Drosophila melanogaster: one gene and its partners. The protein of the gene in region 3 interacts with the protein of the main gene of each other region in a pairwise test. Each region holds a gene or a part of one and is shown on either strand. Other genes may lie near its edges. The genes, in order: for, CG17528, Hsp67Ba and Kif19A.

Region 1 (4,725 bases), on a different chromosome or scaffold from region 3:
GCAGAACTTAAAAAGAGTTCTTAGATATTTGAAGGGCACTATCGATATGAAATTGATTTTTAAAAAGAACTTGGCATTTGAAAATAAAATTATTGGTTATGTGGATTCTGATTGGGCTGGTAGTGAAATTGATAGAAAAAGTACAACAGGGTATTTATTCAAAATGTTTGATTTTAATCTCATTTGTTGGAATACAAAGAGACAGAACTCAGTAGCAGCCTCATCAACTGAAGCTGAGTATATGGCCCTATTTGAAGCCGTGAGAGAAGCTCTATGGCTTAAATTTTTATTAACTAGTATTAACATTAAACTAGAAAACCCCATTAAAATTTACGAAGACAATCAAGGCTGTATTAGCATAGCAAACAATCCCTCATGTCATAAACGAGCTAAACATATTGATATTAAATATCATTTTGCCAGAGAGCAAGTTCAGAATAATGTGATTTGTCTTGAGTATATTCCTACAGAGAATCAACTGGCTGACATATTTACAAAACCGTTGCCTGCTGCGAGATTTGTGGAGTTACGAGACAAATTGGGTTTGCTGCAAGACGACCAATCGAATGCTGAATGAAATTTTTATATATATTTTTCAAATTTAAATTCCTGTAAACATATTTTGTTACAATGATCTGATCGGGTTTTTCTGGGTTTTCCCCGTATCCTCGCAGCAAATGCTGGATCAGTTAACACTTCCCAGAATGCACACCACCCACATTTGATAGTTACTAATGAATATTATTGTTATGTTTTTAATTATAGACGTTATTTTTGAGGGGGCGTGTTGGAATATACTATTCAACCTACAAAAATAACGTTAAACAACACTACTTTATATTTGATATGAATGGCCACACCTTTTATGCCATAAAACATATTGTAAGAGAATACCACTCTTTTTATTCCTTCTTTCCTTCTTGTACGTTTTTTGCTGTGAGTAGGTCGTGGTGCTGGTGTTGCAGTTGAAATAACTTAAAATATAAATCATAAAACTCAAACATAAACTTGACTATTTATTTATTTATTAAGAAAGGAAATATAAATTATAAATTACAACAATCACTTTCGGCTCTAAGGCGGAGAAAAGGGCTTAAAGACCCTGAGCCTTAATTGTTTATTCAAAGCACGGACCAGAAAAAGACAGCACTGGAGCAGTCGAAAGAGATGGGTATATAGACAAAAGGGCGCCTTGGCGAAAAAAAAAATTATTCAAAGGCCGAACGATTGTGCAATCACAAAGTTCGTAGGCGGCATAAATCCATAAATAAACAATAAGTATGAATAAATAAGTTGCTGTTCGACAACAGCGAACAGTAATTGCATATTAAAATGGAGCTTACATGTTGGACGAAAAGTGAAGAAATTCCAGGGTCGATGTAAATGTTATGGTTCCAGTCGCAGAGAATCGCTCTCTTTTCTTCTTGTTGTTGCGATCAGCCGGCTTTTGCGAAGAAAGTTTCTTCGTTTCCACTTGTTGATTTGTGATCGGCTGTCTCGCTCGCGCACTCTTCAGTTTCCTCGTTAATTCACAGGAAGCACAGAATTAAGGCCGAAAATATATTTATAAATGAAATGCAGGCGGCACACGAAACTTCGCCATCAATTTAGACGGCCTGCACTTTTGTTTTCTCGAGTCTTTCCACTTGCGTTGCGTTTCTATGAAATTGGGCATTAAAATTTAAATGCTATTAGCCACAGAACACGAACACGAAAGATTGGGAAATGAAATGAAGGAGAGAGAGTGAGAGAGAGTTCTCTCACTCGTCGCTGTTATTGTTATCACCTGAGTCGAATACAGTGGGACCCCCACTTGAAGATGCAAACAAGACTGAGCTTTTACCAATAGTATTCAATAGTTCACTGATATCGATTAAATAATTTTAAAACTTTTGATCAACATTGCTGATTAACGCTTATTGGATTTAAGAACATTCGATTTGTTAATACTTGTGATCTGGCTTAATATGATAATTTAAGTCGAGCCCCACTGTACTCTTTCTCGCGGATTTTATCGCTCACTCTTTTTGTTTTCAGTTCACTCTCTCTCGCTCCGCATAGTTTGACTTGTTGTTGTTTCTGCCAGCGTAGCGTAGTTAACTTGAGCGGCAGCAACAACAACATCAGCCATACTTGTTGCTAAAAATAGTAGCGGCGGCGAGACAGAAACAGAAAACAGAAAAACAGCGCGGCAGAATAAAATATGAAAAGGCGCACAAATTGGAAAAAATTGTACATGACGAGCAACAAAAACAAGCAGCAAGTAACAAAAAGGAGGAGGAGTAGTTACAACAACAACTGAGCTTCTGTTGAAATATATCAGAGAAAAGAAAGGCAAAGAGGCAGATCGGCGTAGAAAGGAAATGCGACGCAAAACTGCAGTCAAAGAATTAGTTGGAATGATGGACTGAAAAGTGTCAAGTTTAGCACGGAAAATTCGTCAGCTGAAGTGCGAAAGAGACAGAGCGAACGAGCAGCTAACAAGTGATTTTCCATGAAATTAATTGCAGACTGCATTTGAATTAATAATTTTCCACTTTGAAATCACAAACTAAAAGAGAGCCGCTCTCTCTTCCACTCTCTTCGCTTAATGCACCAAAACTGCATTCACAATTCACGTTTTACTAATATTTAGTCAACTTTAACCACTGCCTTTGCTTTAATTGCTTTTTAAGGCAAATAGTTGCACATATGGAAAACGCTAGTTGTTGTTTTATTTTAGAATTCAGAATTGAGCACAAATGCTAGATCGTACGACTAGCGAAAGCAGCAACAACTAACCAAGTGGCACGCACACACAAGCACAAGTCGATGAAAAACCACCGAACTAAATGGCGATGTGGATTATTCTGATAAACGCCAATGCCATATATATATATATTTTTTTTCTTTTATTAAGAACTTGTGCCAAAATTTGCAGGAAAACCACGCGTTGCATTGATTCTTATAAAAATGCCGCTAAAGTCAATTCCAAGCACGATCGCGACAAATGACAACCGCACAGCACGAGAAATTCCAACAGACTGAAAATGAAACAAACAACTTACTCGCTACCACTACTCGAATATTATGAAATAAAGAGCACATTAGCATTTTTTCTCTTAATTTTTAAAAAATTATTTTCTCTTCTGATGCAATGTTATGAATTAGCGTTGAGATAGAAAAAAAAAATTTAAAACAATATTATGCTCAATCCTTTCTACAAATTAATTACTTTAATCAAATAACAAAATATTCATATTAATAAAAGTGTACTTTGTTTGTTAACGTAAATATACTATGTGAAAGGAGTAGATTTAGTAGAGTAGTAGAATTTATAATATTTTCCCTGCTAGTTCTCTCAGAGATGATGTATCAGTTTGATTTTAATAATCATTCCGAATGAAATCATCATTGAAGTTGGTCAAGATCGGTCTTAAATTAATCTAGTATTATAAATTGCCAATGCAGGATTAACTCTGCGCCATGATTTATTCAACTTTTCTCGTATACTTTTGGAACTAACAGCACACAACGCCTATCCGTTTACGACAAATGGTGTTTGTTTTTGGAACTAATACAGCGCCATTTTTCATTTTAGTGATTTCTAACTTACGTTGTACGTTACATTTCAGATTTATTATGCATGTAAGATGTAGAATGTCATAGCAACTGGCCGTCATGTATGTAAATATGTGTATGTATAGGCATTTCAGAGCCATTTTCTGCTCATATGTAGGGGTGGAGCCTGAGAAGAGAGAAAATCCCAAAAGGGGAATAAGAAACTGGGAAATTTTACTATTTAACTCGTTTCGTAAGAGGGTATACTAGATTTGTTAAGAAGTATATAACAGGTAGAATGAATTTTCCGATCTTTTATGGTACATAAAAAGACATTTTTTGAAACATGTTGAAAATTCAAAATTTTTTAATTAAACATAAATGTTTAAGTGGAATAAGTAACATATTGTAAAAATTATTTATTAATTTTAACCGTTATTTATGTACAATTTCGTAAGGTTAGAAAAATCCAAGGATCTTTGGTCGGGAATTTCCCTCAAGAAGGCGTTGCAAACTTAAGACCACCCACCCCCAGTATTGTGCCACCCCTCCCCAACTTCGCAACCCTCTTTTCACCCCTCTGCCGCTCTCGCAGTCGACGTCGCCGGGAAGGAAGGAAAGAGATAGCAGCTGGGAGAAAGGACAAAAGGAGAAACGGGTCGGTGGAAAAGGAGGAGGAGAAAGTAGAGGAAAAGTGAGGCGGCAGCAAAAGTTGATTAGATGGATTTCGTTTGGTTTTTGTGTTTTTAATCACACACCAATTTCATTTATTAAATCTTCGCATCAGCATTTCATTTCTCGCATTCCCTATCTTTCTCTTTCCCTCCTTCTGTCTCTTTCGCTTGTGCAGTGCCTTTTTTGTTTGGCTTTGCGACGGCATTTTTGTATTTTCTGTACCGTAGTGTTTGCTCGTTTGGCCTTCTCTTTTCTCTCGCACTCCTGTTTGTTTGTTTGTTGTTTTCCCGTTCACTCATTGTCACGAGCAATTTCACTCTCTCTCCACACCCCACCACCCCCGTCTCTGCCCATCTTTTGGCCCAGGCAAAACTTTTTGCAAAATGAAATTGTTTTCGTATTAACAATTTCATTAAAATTAAATTACTTTTATTATTCCGACAGAATCAGACAAACGAAAGGAGAAAAAAGCCAGCCTCCCCTGCCGCCCCCTCACCCCTTTCAGCCATT
Region 2 (4,959 bases), on a different chromosome or scaffold from region 3:
TCCCCATCCACCGAAATACGAGTTGTATCGAAAGCCTGTAACGAGAGAAGGCCAGCTTCTGCGACATACAAAAAACTAGCCTATCATAGATATTTGTTCTCTTTCTGTGACGTCTATTAAAAAGAAATCAATTAATTTATTAAGTTGTTAATTTAATTAACTTAACTTATTTGTTGTAAATTGTTGTTGAATATGAAATATTGAATATAGCATTATTGGAATTTTAGGTACAATTTTATGACTTTACAGTAAATGGCTATTTAGCCTTTTCCCTGGTATAATTTTTCGTAATTTTTCTAAAATGGTAGCATTACTTCTTGTTGTGTGAACAAGGTATCTTATTTTTTTTATTTATACAATATTGGTGCCTCGTAATATTTTTTCCGACTCTTTTAGTACTGCAACTTATATAGTAACGTAATTATGCCTTCCTCATAATTCACTTATACAAAAGACCGACCGCGATGGTCCGCCGTCGTATCGATTACCCGTTAAATAAAAAAAACATTTCTCTATATTTCGCATTCACTCAAGCCGTAACCAAAACCCAGCCATTAGGCAGGCACATAGCCACGTAGCACATAAGAATTCTTTTTAACATGTATGCACATAAACATAAGCATAAGCAAGAACAACCCACTAACCCAGTACATCTAAGATTTTCTCACCACAATTGTTTCAGTCTTAAGCTGATATTCAATCAATAAAATCGCAAAGTGGATTCATTCGGAGTTTTTATTTATTTCAACGTTGATCTTAGTTCAAATACGGATCATTTATTCGGCTCAGAACAATAACTATTGTACTTTATATGTTTAATATGTTTTCTGTATTTTTAAGATAGTATAAATTGTCAGATAGATTCAAATAGATTGGGTTGAGAATTGGTCTATTAGGTCAAACGAAAAGTCGTTGTTTTGTTCGTCATTTATTTTAACTGTTTGCATGGGATTGATATCGCCAAGTCTTTTGCCAAGAATAAAGAAGAAAATATTTTATAGCCCAACTTTTTTTGATATCGAATTTCGATTTTTTGCGAGTTTAATTTTCTATAGTCGACAATTTATCGCCGCCATTTCTTTTGTTTTGATAAGTCCAATTCTTTTCTTCCACTTTTCAAAAATGTGGACATGGCAGTTTTGAGCGGTTTTAGGGCGTTGAAGTGGGAGTTTGCAAATAGATAGAATTTTACAAGACTAGTAAAAATGTAAAAAAATATTCAAAAATATTTCAAAAAAACTTTAGACTTCACTCAGAGATTAAAGTCAAACGAAATATTATCAATAAATATTTTTTGCCCAACCATTATTATTAGTTTTTATGGTTTGCCCATCCTTAAACAAATCTTTAACCAAAGTTTTTTCCGATTGCCCACACTTAAAATATTACCAGTTTCGTTAGCCTACCTCTTGAAAATAAAAATTAAGAATAAAAAACGTTTGCCTAGCCTTTAAAAATAAATTATCATTTACACATACTTTAACATTAGTTTTTTTGTTTGCTCACTCTTTAAAATGAATAATTTCGTTTGCCCACCCTTTAAAATAAGCTTTTTTTCTATCAGATACCCCTTACTCAGCTAGTGGAAATGCGAACTCGAAATTCCATATATTTTCAGCGATATCTACAGATATTGGTGAATAAAATGAGAAAAAATTTAAAATTTGTCAAAAGTGTGGGAGAGAGAGAGTGGGTGTGGCAAAAAGTTTTTTGGCAGATCCATAGAAATTTATAATACTATTAAATATATGAAAAACATGAGAGAATGCTATAGTTGAGTTCTGCGACTATCATCATTTTTCTGTGATATCGATAGTCCTCATCATTTGTCTTATTTGCCGCTTCAAACGTAAACAACCATCTAAGGACATAGAATCCGGATGCCTTCAAGTTGCCTCGAAGTGGTCCTGCGTAATGCCACCCAGAACCGGATGCGGCACCGTCAACAGTAACATCGACGGTACCGGGCCGGGCGAGCTTCTTTCCCCTTCAGCAAAAGCGATGTGCAACGTTCAGTTCAATACGGGACGGGCATGTCCGCTGCCCTCAACGGAAGACTTTGTGAGATAAATAAGTGAGCTCTAGAAGTTATTTTGTAAGAGACCGAAAACAAGAGAAGTTGGCTCAATAAATACCTATTTTATTATAATAATCTAATTGACTTAATTTATATACTACCAGCAATAGAAAAGTTTTAAAGTTTTAGGACTGGGAGACTAGTTTGCTTAGGAACGGACGGCCAGACACAGATGTCTTCTGTCTAAACCAATATACCCTTCGCAAGGGTAATAATATATAATAAGTAAATGTGTAAGTATAAACATTGCAATAATATCGTGCAGTAAAAATATTTTTGCTTGGCTGGTTGTTTTATAGGCTGCTTGTGTTGATTGAAATAAGCTGGAAACCATAATACCCTGCATTGAAAATGGTTGTAAGGGACACCAGTCTTTTAAACACTCCAATCAATGCACAGACGAACTTCAATTTGATAGCACAGTGGAGAATTAATAAATGCAAAACTTTGCCACGCTGTTAAGGGGACGGGTTAAATATATTTGGTCGCAATGCGTACTTTAAAGAGGATGTTATTTGACATCTTTAATGCTCTCACCTGATGTCAAAACAATGTATTTTTTGGGTTGTACCTTGAAACCTGTACGGCTGAGTTGCGTACACAATTTTATAGTTATTCACACAAAAGGATTATACCGGAATTTTACTTATGGATTTTCGCTCAAGGTGATTTATGATGTCAGCATGTTTTAGTTTTTTAACCGTGTTCGACATTCGTTATAGCACAAACTAAAATTGATTTACCTGTCAATAATACTAAATTGAACACTGTTATTAAATATACTTTTTTACAATTCTTTTTCATTGAATCATTCCGCCTAAACAAAATGTAAAAAACTTATTGTTTGTCAAAAGATAATTCAAAACGGATATTATATTTAATAATAATCTTTAGCACAAATGTAAACTGCTTTAATTGTAATACCGTGCTTCGATATCACCACACATACACCGTTGGGCCGCAACAGATTTCGAAACTCGTTCCTATATAAAATTCACGCCGTCAAGATATCGTCGATGATTTTACGCCGATTAAGGAATATTGGAAAAGAGGGAAAATTAGGTTCTTATTTATTCGTTTTTTCAGGCCCTATCTAATTTAAAAATTTAAAATGTATGAAGTAGAATGTATTTAAATTGTTACTGTTTAATTATTTATAATAAATAATTTTTTTATTATTATTTAAATTTATTCGGTGATAGACGTTTGCACTTATACTATTACAAGACACTTTTTTTAATAGCTTATCTTTGTTTTGAAACTGCTCACGATCTCGTCCCGATTTAGACTGATCTTTTAAATCTTAATCCTAATCCACTCAGCCTCGGCCAGAAGCATTTCTTTAGGATTTTCTTGAACTTTCAAATATGTTAAGGATAAAAGCTTTATACTGAAATTATTTCACAGCATTGTGAAATCGAAATTTGCTGACTGGTGATTACTTTAAGTTTGGTTATTTATCGGGTGGCTAAGTGCTGGCACCCAAAACGGGCAATGAAAATGCTGCTGAGAATGGAGATTGAAATTTGTTTATCAACTGGGGATTAACTTGGATAATTGACAGGGTTGGATAATTGAAATGCTGCTGAGATTGGAGTTTGAAATTTGTTTATCAACTGGGGCAGAGTGCTATATTTAAGGATTGGAGAACTTATATAAGTTAAGTGCCGAGGACCTGGAGGAATGACCCCAGGTCGGCAATAGATTTGATATTACCTAAATGTCGGTTCCATATGAAATGATATCAATCGAATATTTGTCTTTAGTCTTTGTCTTTATTCCGCTTGATTGGTTTGCATTTTGGTAACAATCCGCTCGAGTTCGGTTCTTCTCCAAGAGTGTCACTTCGCTCGCCAGCTATGAGCGTCGAGCCCTCGGGCAGCTAGCATAAGTGCTAACCAGGCGCAACGTGACATTCGTTGACGCGCCCGAGTGTTGCAGTCATGAGAGTGCCGGCCCAGTAACTCCGCACAATGTTGTTGATCTTCCGCTGCCAGCGCGAAATACTGTGCTGACGCCGCAGCGGCGGTGAGGCAGGAAACGCCCCACTTTCAGATCGTTGACCAGTTCAGCGTTTAGCTTCTTATATACTTACATATATATAATTTTATATTATTATATATTATTTTTATTTTTAAGGAAGGGAATATAGTAGTCGCGTACATCGAGAGCTCCCTGTATATAATTGACTAGTACAACAGCTAGAACAAGCTGTTTTACCTTGTTTGAGGGCTCACGTAAAATGAGCTCGCATAAGCATTCTCCCCCTGACCAACTACTAATGCTGACGGCTGAGTGCGCGCGAGAAGCAAAGCGAAGCGATGAGATAATATTGGGCAAGTACGAGCGATAAGCCACTGCAAGCATTTTTAAGTGCAATCGCTCGAAAGTTATTAGAGTGAGACCGATAAAGCGAGAGAGCAGTTTGCAACCTTATTTATCGCTTTAACTCGCTTAGAGCGTGCGATTGTTTTGATGTGCTTTCTGTGCTTTTATTTTCAAAACACATTTTTTGGTTTTGTTCTATTCTGTGCTTTATTTACCGTTTACTTTTAAAGCACGCGGTTTTTATTTTTGCATATGGTGTGAGAAAACACCAGAACGAAATGGACGTAAACGTGGTTTCGTAAGCCATTATATAAATTATTAAATTCACCTTTGGCATTTCCATTGCAGTTAAGGTTGTGGACGTCAGTTTTTTTTTAAACAGAAAGTTAATAGTTGCACTTGATGCAAAAAACTCCGAACGAAAAACTATTTATTTTCAAATAATAATAAGAAAAGCTTTTAACAGGCAAAAATAGTCGAGTCGATCAGTCTGTCTGTATGAACGTCGAGATCTCAGTAACTATAAAAGAAGAAGGATGAGACTCAGCATACAG
Region 3 (4,221 bases):
TGGAGTATATTCCACGAAGGATGGAGTAAATTCGCGAAACTTCGAGACTGCAGAACAGTTCTTCTTTTTATGGCCTGGCATTTAAGCTATTAACTTTAATTAATATCCAAGAATGGGGCTCTGTAGTGGGGAAATCTAATTAAAATACATAAGTGGTTAATGCCGGGTAGGTAATAACCCATGGGATGTAAGCGTATTATTACTCCAATCAGTAAGAAAATGTAAAAATGATACGATTTGGAACATATGTACATTCATACAATAAAGGATTCGAAGGATGTAAAAATTATTTGAATAAAATGTAATGCAACTATTTTGAATTTCAAAGGTCGATAGATGAAAACATAAACCAAAAAACATTAAAAACATTTAATAAATTCTAATAGTCAATATTTGGTTTATTGAAAACGAGGCTGTAACCTTTTATTATATTTGACCAATTTCTTAAGACAAATACATATGTATGTATGTAAGATTTAGCTGCACATTTGCTTGGTACAACTTGATAAATATTCAGCTTATATACACATTGTTTAGAATTCAGAATTACTTCGTAATAACCAAATCAAATGACAATTTGTTTACAATTTGTTGTTACAGTAGCGATTGAATAACCATATAATACATGGGCATTGCTATAGAACTCAATCTCTGGTTGTTATATAATTCGAGTTTTTATTTATGGCCCCATTTTCTTGTCACCACTCCTCCTCCACTGAAGTAGAGTACTCTTGGTGCCCAGGGCTTGGACAATCCAACGCCAACGCAGTGGAAGTTGTCTATTCAAAAAGGTGGCCACATAATGTGCGAGCATGCTCGTCCGGCGGATTTCTTCCCCTTGGTTAGGTAAATGGGAGCAAGTACCCAGTGTGTATGTACATGGGGAATGTATCGTATGTACAAGGGGGCATCTCGTACGCAGCAATCTCTGAAGGTTTTTGCTCTTTTCCGACTGCAGCTGGCAGATACACCATATCAATACAAACATACTATATAATATAATATATGGCCATACAGAATTGTATCCCGCAGCTGAGTTCGGGGCCCCAGTAAATTTTTAGCAAAGTCTCCACTGTCTGGCCCCCGTCTGGATGTTGTTGGTGTTGTTGTTGTTTTTTGCATTTTGGAGCTTTTCAACCGGTTGCCATCGCTTGCACTTGGCTATGTAACCACATACGAATCCAGCAATATCATCATCATCTGTGTGGCAGGGTATGTATGTATGTATGTAGATACAAATGTATATGGAGATACCATATGTATGGGTTGCCCCAGACGCTGTCACTGCGCATGTTTACGCGACGCCGGCTTGCCAATCCTCCAGCTCTGGCAACAGCGGATTTGTAGCTTCCAGGCGGCCCTGCCAGCCAGCCAGCCAGCCAGCTGTTGTTGTAGTTGTTTATCGCCGGCGACTCGAATCCGCATCGGCAACCGGCACGAGACTCAGACTCTCAGCTGTTCGCTCAATGCCGGCAGTGGGAATTCAGCTGCAACACGACCACTTTACATATACCCCGTCTATATGGATATTTGTATATATGAGTACATATATGTATATCGCCGGTACAAGGAAGATGGCATCTCTTGGGGGGGATATTCGTGCATATATGCTTCGATTTCAAGCCGGTTTGCCTCTTTTACGTATCTTTTTTATTTGGTTTTGCAACGTTGCAGTTTGGTTTGTCTGGTTTCTTGCCGACTACGAGTACGAGTACTTTCTTTGTTCTCTGGCTATCTGCGGTAGAGGAAAAGTATCTCTTATTTCGGTGTATATAGCAGAAAATGGCATAGTACATGGCTTGACTGACTGTTTTAATGGGTAGCCCTTCCCCTTGGTGAGTTCTCTGGAGGAGTTGCATAGTTTTTCGCCTGGGAGCTGGCATGGAAGCCGACTGGAAGTGACCAGGTTTTCCATTCAGCGCTGCACAGCCGCTTAAAAGCGTCGACATTCAGCCATAAGGGCTCAAACGCAGTCCAGTTGGAGGCCAGAACGGATCGCCGCCGGTTCCCAGACGACACCAATCCCCGCAAGACCTAAAAAATAAAAGATATATCTTAGCCAGATAGGAAGAAAGTGAAAATGTCGCTGATACCGTTCATACTAGATTTGGCCGAGGAGCTGCACGATTTCAATCGCAGCCTGGCAATGGATATAGATGATTCGGCCGGATTCGGGTTGTATCCACTGGAGGCCACCTCACAGTTGCCACAGCTGAGTCGTGGGTTGGGGCGTGGGAATGCAATGATGTGGGTGCCCATCAAGGGTCAGTCGGCGGCATCGCAGCATCGCCATCATCCGTACAATCGTGTGGCCGGAGCCAAGACTGCTTGCTGCAATAAGTCGCTGGTGGAGCTGGAAAAGGAATTGGGCGATAAGGGCACGTCCGGGGCAAGCGGCAGCACCAGTGGCCAACCGGCGGCCAGCAAATCCGCCTACTCCGTGGTGAATAGGAACGGCTTCCAGGTGAGCATGAATGTGAAGCAGTTCGCCGCCAACGAACTGACCGTCAAGACCATCGATAACTGCATCGTGGTCGAGGGTCAGCACGACGAGAAGGAGGATGGCCACGGGGTGATCTCGCGCCACTTCATCCGCAAGTACATCCTGCCCAAGGGCTATGATCCCAACGAGGTGCACTCGACCCTCTCCTCGGACGGCATTCTGACGGTGAAGGCGCCGCCACCACTTCCAGTCGTCAAAGGCAGCCTGGAACGACAGGAGCGCATCGTAGACATCCAGCAGATATCGCAGCAGCAGAAGGATAAGGATGCGCAGCCGCCAAAGCCGTCAGAGGTAGAGCAGCAGGCGGCAGCTAGTGCCACCACTTCCACTTTAAATCCGACTGCACCCACACCCACTCCTTCGCTCTCGCTCACTCTCGCCGAGAGCAACGGCAACGGTCAGGAAGAGACAGAGATGGAAATGCCGGCTGTTTCGCCCCCCATTTCCAATGAGGCTGCTGCTGCCGCTGCTGTTGCAGTGGAAGCCCCTTCCACCGCAGGAACCACTTCCAGTGCCAACAATGGCGTTGCAGAACCAGAATCAGAGTCCATGGAAGTGGCGTTGGCCAAAAACGAAGAGACTGCCAATGTGGATGAACCCACACCCAATCCCGTTATAAGCATCGAAGAGGAGCAAAAGGCAGAGGATGCAAATGCCAACGAAGTGCCCGTTGCCTCGAATAACGGCAATGGAGCAGTCGCAGCAGCCGAGGATGTGGAAATGCCGCTGGCCAAGAAACCGGAAATCTCCACGGAAGACAGCAAAGAGGAGCAGGCGGAGAAGGTTGATAAAGTAGAGAAAGTGGAGGAGAAGGGCGGCGAGGAACTGGCAGCCGTAGATGCGGCCATTCTACTGGCCAAAAACCAAGGCGAAAATGGAGCCACTGCAGCCAAAACCGAGGAACTGGCCAAGTGAAGACTGAACTAAAAGAAAGAACATAAATAGTAATTAAGAACAAATAATAATCTGCACGGGTAGGCGTGCGTTTTATTCCATACGTGTTTCTTGTGTTTTCTTTTCTTGCATTTCACACAAAAAAAAAGAAGCGAGAAAGCTGACGGGAAAAGCACTCAATTACTAATAGTGGGAGATTGCTGGCGTTATATGTATGTATGATTTTCTAAAAAACATATGTGACAACAACTACAAGTATTCCAGTAAAACTTAAAGACAGAAACACGAAATAATGTACTTAATAAAGAGGAAAACCAGAATAAAAAAAACTGACGTTTTGTTTTGTTTGCCGTTAGCCGGCTGTTTCTTTTGCGCTCTTTCTAGAAAATTGCAACAACTCTCTAGAAACTTCGGCTCTCTCACTCATACAGGCGCACTAGCTCTGCTTTTGCGCGTACGACAACAACTACATTTAAAATTTCTCGAAACTCATGGCATTTATTGGGAAAGGTTAGTTAGTTTTATTTTTTGTTTTTAGAGCAGCATTCAATTTAGACTTTTATAAAAGAAATTTCTAATTTGATCCCTCGTTTATCAAACGATACAAAGCTATATTCATAATTTTTTCTCTCTGTGCACGTTCTCTCTCTTCTCTTCTCTCTCTCTACTCTTTCCTTTTTCTGTCACTTTCCGGACTCTTCTAGAAAAGCTCCAGCGGGTATAAAAGCAGCGTCGCTTGACGAACAGAGCACAGATCGAATTCAAAAATCGAGCAGTGAACAACTCAAAGCAACTTTGCGCAAAAGCAAAACTTCAAACGAGAA
Region 4 (7,731 bases), on a different chromosome or scaffold from region 3:
ACGACGACGGCTGGTGGGAGGGCGTCATGGATGGTGTTACCGGTCTGTTTCCGGGCAACTACGTAGAGCCTTGTGTCTAAGCCTCGCATCGATATTCTAAACATGCCAACCATTACAATAATCTGCATCATCTGGTCTGTTCCAGTCCTCTGCTGCTTCTCAAGAGCTCCAAAAAATTTCAATTCAGTTATCGGAGAGTTAGACTGAGGACCGCAACAGACTCAGCTGACAATGACGATAAGATTTTGAGCATATTAATAAGGACAATTATACAATTACACACCTACACAAGCACAGCAGGCCAGAGAAAGCGAATTCCATTAGCATCAGCCAACCGCATTTAGTCTAATATAAACGAGCACACAAACACACAGAATCCACGGGCTAGGGATACCGCTTGCTGCCCAACTAAAACTATTTACACTTTAGTAGCCGAAAACGATGCAAGAAGGGGAAAGTGAAACCGGATACCCGTGAATAACTTATGCGATATTATAAAACTGTTCCACAACCGTAGACGAATTCTGTCCTGCTCCTGCCGCCAATCCAAATACTTTAAATATTTGCTCACAGTTTTATCAAGCGATTTCTGTTTGCCTTGCGCTTTGATATGCCCGGCTATTATACACCAATACTACCCGAACCTATGCCCCCAGCAATACTGTAGGTTATATAAATTTCAGTTAGCATTTAATACTTAAGTATTGGCCAGTTGGAACTTTTGTTTATACTTTTACGAACCGCAACGATGTCTTTTTTTTGCGAACGTTTAGTTAAAATGGAATTGCCAGCAAAGGAATCAAATTAAATTAAACAATACAAGTACACATACGCTCTATATGGTAAAAATAATAGCTAATAAAAATTTCAATTACTAAACCGCAAGCCCTTGTTCTATGACCGTGTAATTTGCGCTGACCTTCTCGTGAGTCGAGCCCCGGATGTCAGTAAAAATCCGTAATTGGGGCAAGGCTCTGTGGCCTGCCAAATTCAAATTCGAAATCTCAAATGCAAATTTCAAGTCGTGTGATGGAAGGCTTGAAATATTTGCAAATGCCAACACTCATTGGGGTCATTCAGTCAGTCAATCAATCCATTATAATCGACACTTTGCTCTACAAACCGATTTCAATTCAATGTCTCGTCCCGGAAAACTTTTCCATAACTCGGCTCCGGGTAAATTAATGCTTTCGTGGTGATATGTGGAAGGTTTTTTACCCATTTGCTAAATTTATTATCAGGTTTCGAGGAGTTGACGTGGCGGAAATGCCAGAAAAAAGTGGAGTGCTGGCATGATTTGCATAAAATGTGCTAAATTGTTGCCCACTTTTTGGGCCCCTCAACTATACATACATAAATATGGAAATACCTTTATTTGTGAACAATTATTGGAGTGGACCTGAACAGCTTGAAGACGGACTCTTTGAACGACTACTTTAACCCACAACTGGCCAGCGGCAGGTGGAACCCGCCAGGAATGTATGCAAAATGGCGCATTAGCATTTGAACAATGCCATAGTAAAAAAACGTGGCAACAACAATAGTTGGTTGATTGTGCCGTGCCAGGAGTCGAAACACCGCCCACCCAGCAGGCACCCAACCTGGAATCCATTCCAAACCCCCTGGACATGCCTATAATTTCGTTATTTTCTGACCAGGCCGAGTCGGACGCTTCAGTTGAGTTTGGTACGTCGACGCGAATGGTTCCACAAGTCGCTTTCATTTCGGATTCTACTCCACAACGTTCTTGGCGACCCAGTGTTTCCGGTGTGTTTTGACTTTAAGCCTCTTTTTTTGGCGAGTGGCGTGTCCGGAATAGTTTTCCGAGCGGATAAAGTGCAATACAAAACTATTTGTAAGTGAACCGCGATGCAGAGGTGCTTGAAAAGTTTTTATCATTTGTGTGTTTTACATAATCGAAATGTAAGCCGAGATTGGGGTGGCTCCTCTCTGCGGGCACCGCATTTAATTGACCTACTTGGTGCCGGATTTACTTGCTGGCCAAGTGTAAAATATTACATTATTCCATGTCAGGATTGGGGCCACTGGCCACTTTGTTTATGGCGTAAAGAATTCGCCTGCCTCGTCAATGCGGACAAGTTGGCCCACTTAATGTCGAAATTCTCAAAGTTTCGTGACACGCACAACTTTCTCGAAACTCGAGACGCGCTAATTTGGAAAACCCCGTGAAGGTTAAAAGTTTTGCACTTGCATTCAAAGTCCACTACAAAAATGACGTCACCTTGGATGCATATTGGGGGCTGGTCACTCAGCTTAATGGGCCACTAAAAATAAACCCGGCAAGTGTGTGCCAAGGGAAATGGCTTTGGGTAATTAAGTCGTCTCCAGGTCAAAAAAGCCATCAATCACCACCACTGCGTATACGCAATGCTCCTGGTGGGTAATTACACTCTGGCATTATGGGGTTTGCCTTTCTCGGGCTTTGTTAGCTTGGCAGGATTTAATAGGGAAATACTCATAATTTTTGCTTATCTAACAAGACTCTTTGTTTTGGAATTCAGAATTCCTTTTAATATGAACTTAATATGTAAATATGGTTAATATAAGATTGGATTGCACTGCAATTGATTTTTCCAATTATGAAGATTATAAATACCATAACCATATGGAATTATAATACATCAAGCACTTGAATAACAACTTTAATGAGCAGTGGTATTATTTTGTGACCTCGTTTTCATATCGAACGTATAGAAAATAACTATAACCATTTGTCAAAGCTTACGGGTCTTTTGTTTTATTCAGATCCCCATCGATGGGTATGTTTATTTGGATTCCTTTTGGTCGATGGCCATTGTCGCGAGTGAGTTAAAAGGTATGTGTTCTTTATCACTCACTAGACTGTCCTGGATCGAAAAGCAAACTCATTAGCCATAAAGAGTCTGTCACACGTGTTATTACTTAGCCGTGCTTGGAGTTATAGGACTTTTCCAGCTACCCTTTCCCACCGAATCGGGACTTTCCCTCGAAAAACGCCTTTCAAAGCTTCAATTCATATGCGCTACTCCATTACTCCCGACCCAACTGCCCCAATTCTCCCCCTAAGCGCCACTAATGAGCTCTAAGCAGACCACCATGCGCTGGCCACACAATGCCACACCTCCACGTGGCTCCAACTCCCCCATGGGGTTCACTAGCCGGCAAATCAAAGCATGGAACACCAAAGCATTAAAAACATTAACAGTCGACGTGCGACAACAACCGAAGACAAAGTCACTGAGCCACCGAACCACTGCACTACTTAACCACCCAGTCGAATAGCCCACCACAAACCATTCGGAATGCCAACCACATGCCGCCCCACATCCAGTTGATTCAGAAGTCCTGTCCACTTGCCTTCGTGTCGTGTCTGCCGGCAATTTACACAAATTCAATAAACGACCAAAAGACCGTCGTAGTGGAATTCGAAACAAGAACTGGCAAAAGTGTTGAGGTCTCCTCGTGGGTGGTGGTTTAAATCGGACTCAATTGCACCACCCATTAATGGGCGCTCAATTAAAGTGCTCAAATCGATTTTCGGCATTATCAAATTAACTGCCTTCGAAATAGGCACCGAATTATCATAACAAATAAATTATATATTCCATTCGGAAATAAGTTAATTCCCTATGATCTAAAATATATTAAGACTTTATGCACTTCATTTAATGGAAATTAGTGGGAATTTTACAGAACCTCAAATAGAACAAAAAAATTTATATATAAATAAGTGCATATTTTCCCAATGAGTTCCTATAACAGCCTATAACATATCTATACATTTCAAGCGATCGCTGTTATAATTTTTCCCAGTGTATCGAATGACACCCCATCACTCAATTCGAACGCCCATCTCTGTTGACATTCAAGGCCTGTAATTTGTGTACATATTTGAGGAGCAAGTGCCGCGGAAGCTTGGTCTTTTTGTTATGGGCTGTTCCATCACAAATTCATGGCACCTGAATGGGAACATGGAATTAAAATGAATAATCCAAACCGTTGGCACTCAATAAGTCCCACGTTTTATAATTGACCAGCTCTTAGGCAAATGAAATTAATTATGGCTTTGGGGAAGCGACAGTTGGCTGCGGGGCTATGGAAGTTTTCCTTTATAGTGAGTGACAGGTGTTGGGTGTTTGGGTTCAGAGGTCACAACATGTTTGGCACACGGACAAAGATTATGGATTAGCGTGAATGGATTGACACTTCTATTTCCGGCAACACTTTCATTTAATTTGAATTTTATGCACTTCAATTTTATGGACAACACCATGCGAAAAAGAAAAAATTGGCTGGAACTTTCAAGAATCCATATATGATTTGAAACATATGATTAGAAATATTGGAAGTCTTGTAATATAGGTAAAATTGTGTTTAGTATTGTGGGCAACATTATTTTTTTTAGAGATCCATCACCTTTTTATTGGAATTTTGATCCATAATCTGAACCCTTGAAGGTTAATAGACTCTTGAGGACTTCAGGGTTCCCAGTTCAGGTACAGTACCCTCTCGATGACCATCGAACTGCTCCATTTGATTTGCATGCGGAGACACGCAGGCACTTTTTGGGTGTTCAAGTTCACGGCTTGATTTATGGCCCACGCCAGCTCCTTTAGCTCCTTGAGTTCTTTGGGCCACAGGTAAACAAGAGCCATGGGACTCCAAGGACCCTCCTTCACAGAGAAATTCCCTGTAAAGAGGCGAGACCTTGGCGCGCAAATTCACAAGTCCATTAGGAGTTCGTTGGGTGTTTCCCGCGCTGATGGCAGTTTTACGATTGTTGACAACAAATTGACACGATTTGTAATGGTCCTGTCCAGGTCAGGTCATCAACCAGGCCAGGCGGCACGTGGCTGCACAAGGACTACCCACCCACATATCCATTGCTATTTGCCATTTATCTGAAGGATCGCAGTGATGGCGACCAGTGCTGGAGCGAGCAGCTGGTCGGGCAGCAGTGGAGGCAGCAACTCCTCCCAAGGACGATCCATTGCTACAGCTCAACCGGCGCAGGAGGAGAGATTAGTGGTGAGTATATACTCTATGGAGAATATACTATTTCAGAAACAATTACTTAAATTTAGAATTTAATATTACAATTGAAGATATGATGGGATAAGAAGTTCTTCCTTTTTTTTAATCAGTTGCTTTAGTACGTAATAATAACTTCCTAATCTTCTTTAGGTTGCAGTTCGGGTTCGACCCAGTATGGAGGCCACGGAACGCTGCATCGAAGTCATCTCCGGCGGATCACTTCTGTACGATGATGGCGGAAAGAGTCGTCCACGGCAGTATTCGTACGATCATGTATTCCGGGAGAACGATAGCCAGGAGCAGGTTTACAAAACGACTACGGCTCCTTTAGTCAGAGATGTCCTTAACGGTCTGAATGCGGCCGTTTTCGCCTATGGAGCCACTGGATCCGGAAAGACGCACACCATGCTGGGACCTGTGCCGCGCAAAAAACCGCAGACCAGCGATCGTGCCCCACCCACAGCATCCTGTGATTCCACAGACGTGAGCAGCCAGGACATCGGGCTAATGGTGCGCGCCATAGAAGATATATTCAGTCACATCGAGTCAGCGGAGGCGTATTCGTGTCGCGTTTCCATATCCTACCTGGAGATATACAACGAGCTCATAAGGGATCTCCTTAATCCTGGAGGACCCTTGGAGCTGCGAGAGGATCATCGTGGCCAGCGCATCACCGTGGCTGGTCTCTCGGAGATTACCACTTCCAGCAGAAAGGAGGTTGTAAGTCTGTTGCTCAAGGGAAACAAGGCCAGGACCATGGAGCCGACGGCCGCGAATCAAACTTCCTCACGCAGTCACGCCCTTTTGAGTATTATGGTTCAGGCAAGGACGCCGTTGGGCACCAAGCAAGGACGACTCTTTCTCACCGATCTGGCCGGATCGGAGCGGGCTAAGAAAACAAAGAATAGGGGTAAACGATTGCAGGAAGGTGCCCACATAAATCGAAGCTTGCTGGCACTGGGCAACGTTATCAACGGACTATCCGGCGGTGCCAGGTATGTCAACTACCGGGACTCCAAGCTAACCAGGCTGCTCAAGGAGGCGCTGAGTGGTCGCTGCAAGACCGTAATGATTGCCCATGTTGCACCGGAAAGTAAGCACCGCGATGAGACCAAGAACACTCTGGTTTACGCCGACCGAGCTAATAGCATCACTACCAAGCTCCAAAACTCCGTGTACATCGATGAGTTCAAGGACTTTCCCACCAAACACTACCAAAGTCTCGTTTCGGAGCTGCGCGATGAAGTATCACGTCTGCGCACCAAGATGCTAACCGAAAGGCCTCGGAGTGGAGCAGCTGCAGCAGCGGCAGCCGCAGCAGCTTCAGGCTCTGCTGGGACCGCTGGATCTGGAGCTGGATCGGAAGCTGTCCAGGAACAGGACGAACAGCGCAAGACCGAACTCCGTTACCTGCGCGAACAGATTGTTCTCACCTTCAAGCAGCAGATGAAACTGCGCAGGAAACTCCTCGAGGCCGAGAGCCATCTACTGGGCTTGGAACTGGACGCTGAGCGGCAGCATATGATTATCTCCCACTGGCAAGGACGCATTGGAAAACTATATGATGCAATGGGCGATGACGGTGTGTTTTCTCCCACATATTACTGATCACGAAATCATCATATTTGGTTTGTTTTTCCGCAGACATTGAATCAGAAGGATCGGTGGCTTTGAAAAATGCCTGGGGAGAACTGGCGGCTATAGAGAAGGAGACCCGCCGCTACAAGGAAATCCGCGAGAGGACGGAGCACGAGCTGGAGCAATGCCGTCAGAAAGGAGTCAAACTGGAGGATGTGAGTCTTAGTGGGGTGCATTTATCCATTTGTGGGCAATAGTATCTTCCTTTCCGAACAGGAACTTCCGGAGCGCATTAGCAGTGACGAGGAACGCGAACTGCTAGCACTCCTCTGCCGTGTCCACGAGTTGGAGGCGGACAAGGTATCGCTGCAGGCGGAGCGGCTGGCTCGCCAGGCGGAGCTGCGCAGGCGTGATCTTCAACTGCTTAGGGCAGAAAGACAGCGACGCCTCTGCGAGGACATCATCAGCTCCCAGAGAAGGCTCATCGAAGAGGGCAACGTGGATCTGCCGGATGAGTTGCGTGAGCTTTATGGGCTTTACCAGCAGGAGATACATGCTGGCGTGGTAACACCCAGCACCAGCAACTATGAACGGAAACTACCGCCCATCTATACTGCGGGGTAAGGATTCATTTTGGGATAACTACAATATTGATCCGAGAAGAAGTTATTAAATTGTCACATTTGCCCAAAGATCTGACTCACCCGGCTCCAGTTCCAGTTCAGAGTGGTCGCCGGCCTCGCCCCTGCCTCAAATCGACAACCAAATGGATCCTGTCGACCGAGTCATGGGCCCACCTGTCAATCCGCGTCTGCCCCGGCTTTCCGCAGCTACAAGTGCGAATGTTCCAGCCGGAGGATCACGTCGACCTTCGTTAAGGGTGGCCAGGAATCCACATCCACATCCGTAGGATTGACGGTCACTAGTGGAATGGAAGGTGCTCAGGAATAGTTGTAATTAAGGCCTAGGATTCTTAGGAAGAGGATTCGAATGTCTGCTCAATTTACTCATTGTGTTATATCTTTCCATCCCAGGCACTTAAATATGTTATGCATATATCCAATAAAAATGTAAGCTTTAAGGACCTAACAAATTTTTAAAATATAAATATTGATTCAG

The links.
Region 1: the proteins of Hsp67Ba (region 3) and for interact in a two-hybrid assay, tested with the Drosophila melanogaster proteins (one large-scale study listed by BioGRID).
Region 2: the proteins of Hsp67Ba (region 3) and CG17528 interact in a two-hybrid assay, tested with the Drosophila melanogaster proteins (one large-scale study listed by BioGRID).
Region 4: the proteins of Hsp67Ba (region 3) and Kif19A interact in a two-hybrid assay, tested with the Drosophila melanogaster proteins (one large-scale study listed by BioGRID).

What each region holds. Positions count from the first base shown.
Region 1 is NT_033779.5:3,653,927-3,658,651, forward strand, and holds the start of for (foraging), read right to left. Parts: upstream 3,028-4,725; 5' UTR 2,796-3,027; exon of another isoform or gene 2,782-2,795; intron 1,660-2,781; 5' UTR 1,344-1,659; intron 1-1,343.
Region 2 is NT_033778.4:4,821,291-4,826,249, forward strand, and holds the start of CG17528 (uncharacterized protein), read right to left. Parts: upstream 3,030-4,959; 5' UTR 2,615-3,029; intron 1-2,614.
Region 3 is NT_037436.4:9,377,299-9,381,519, reverse strand, and holds Hsp67Ba (heat shock gene 67Ba), read left to right. Parts: upstream 1-1,985; 5' UTR 1,986-2,080; coding exon 2,081-3,418; 3' UTR 3,419-3,718; downstream 3,719-4,221.
Region 4 is NT_033777.3:14,112,414-14,120,144, reverse strand, and holds Kif19A (kinesin family member 19A), read left to right. Parts: upstream 1-1,694; 5' UTR 1,695-1,855; intron 1,856-4,820; 5' UTR 4,821-4,917; coding exon 4,918-5,028; intron 5,029-5,184; coding exon 5,185-6,616; intron 6,617-6,678; coding exon 6,679-6,827; intron 6,828-6,888; coding exon 6,889-7,232; intron 7,233-7,305; coding exon 7,306-7,522; 3' UTR 7,523-7,694; downstream 7,695-7,731. Other genes in the region: Abi (abelson interacting protein), read left to right, coding at 1-80.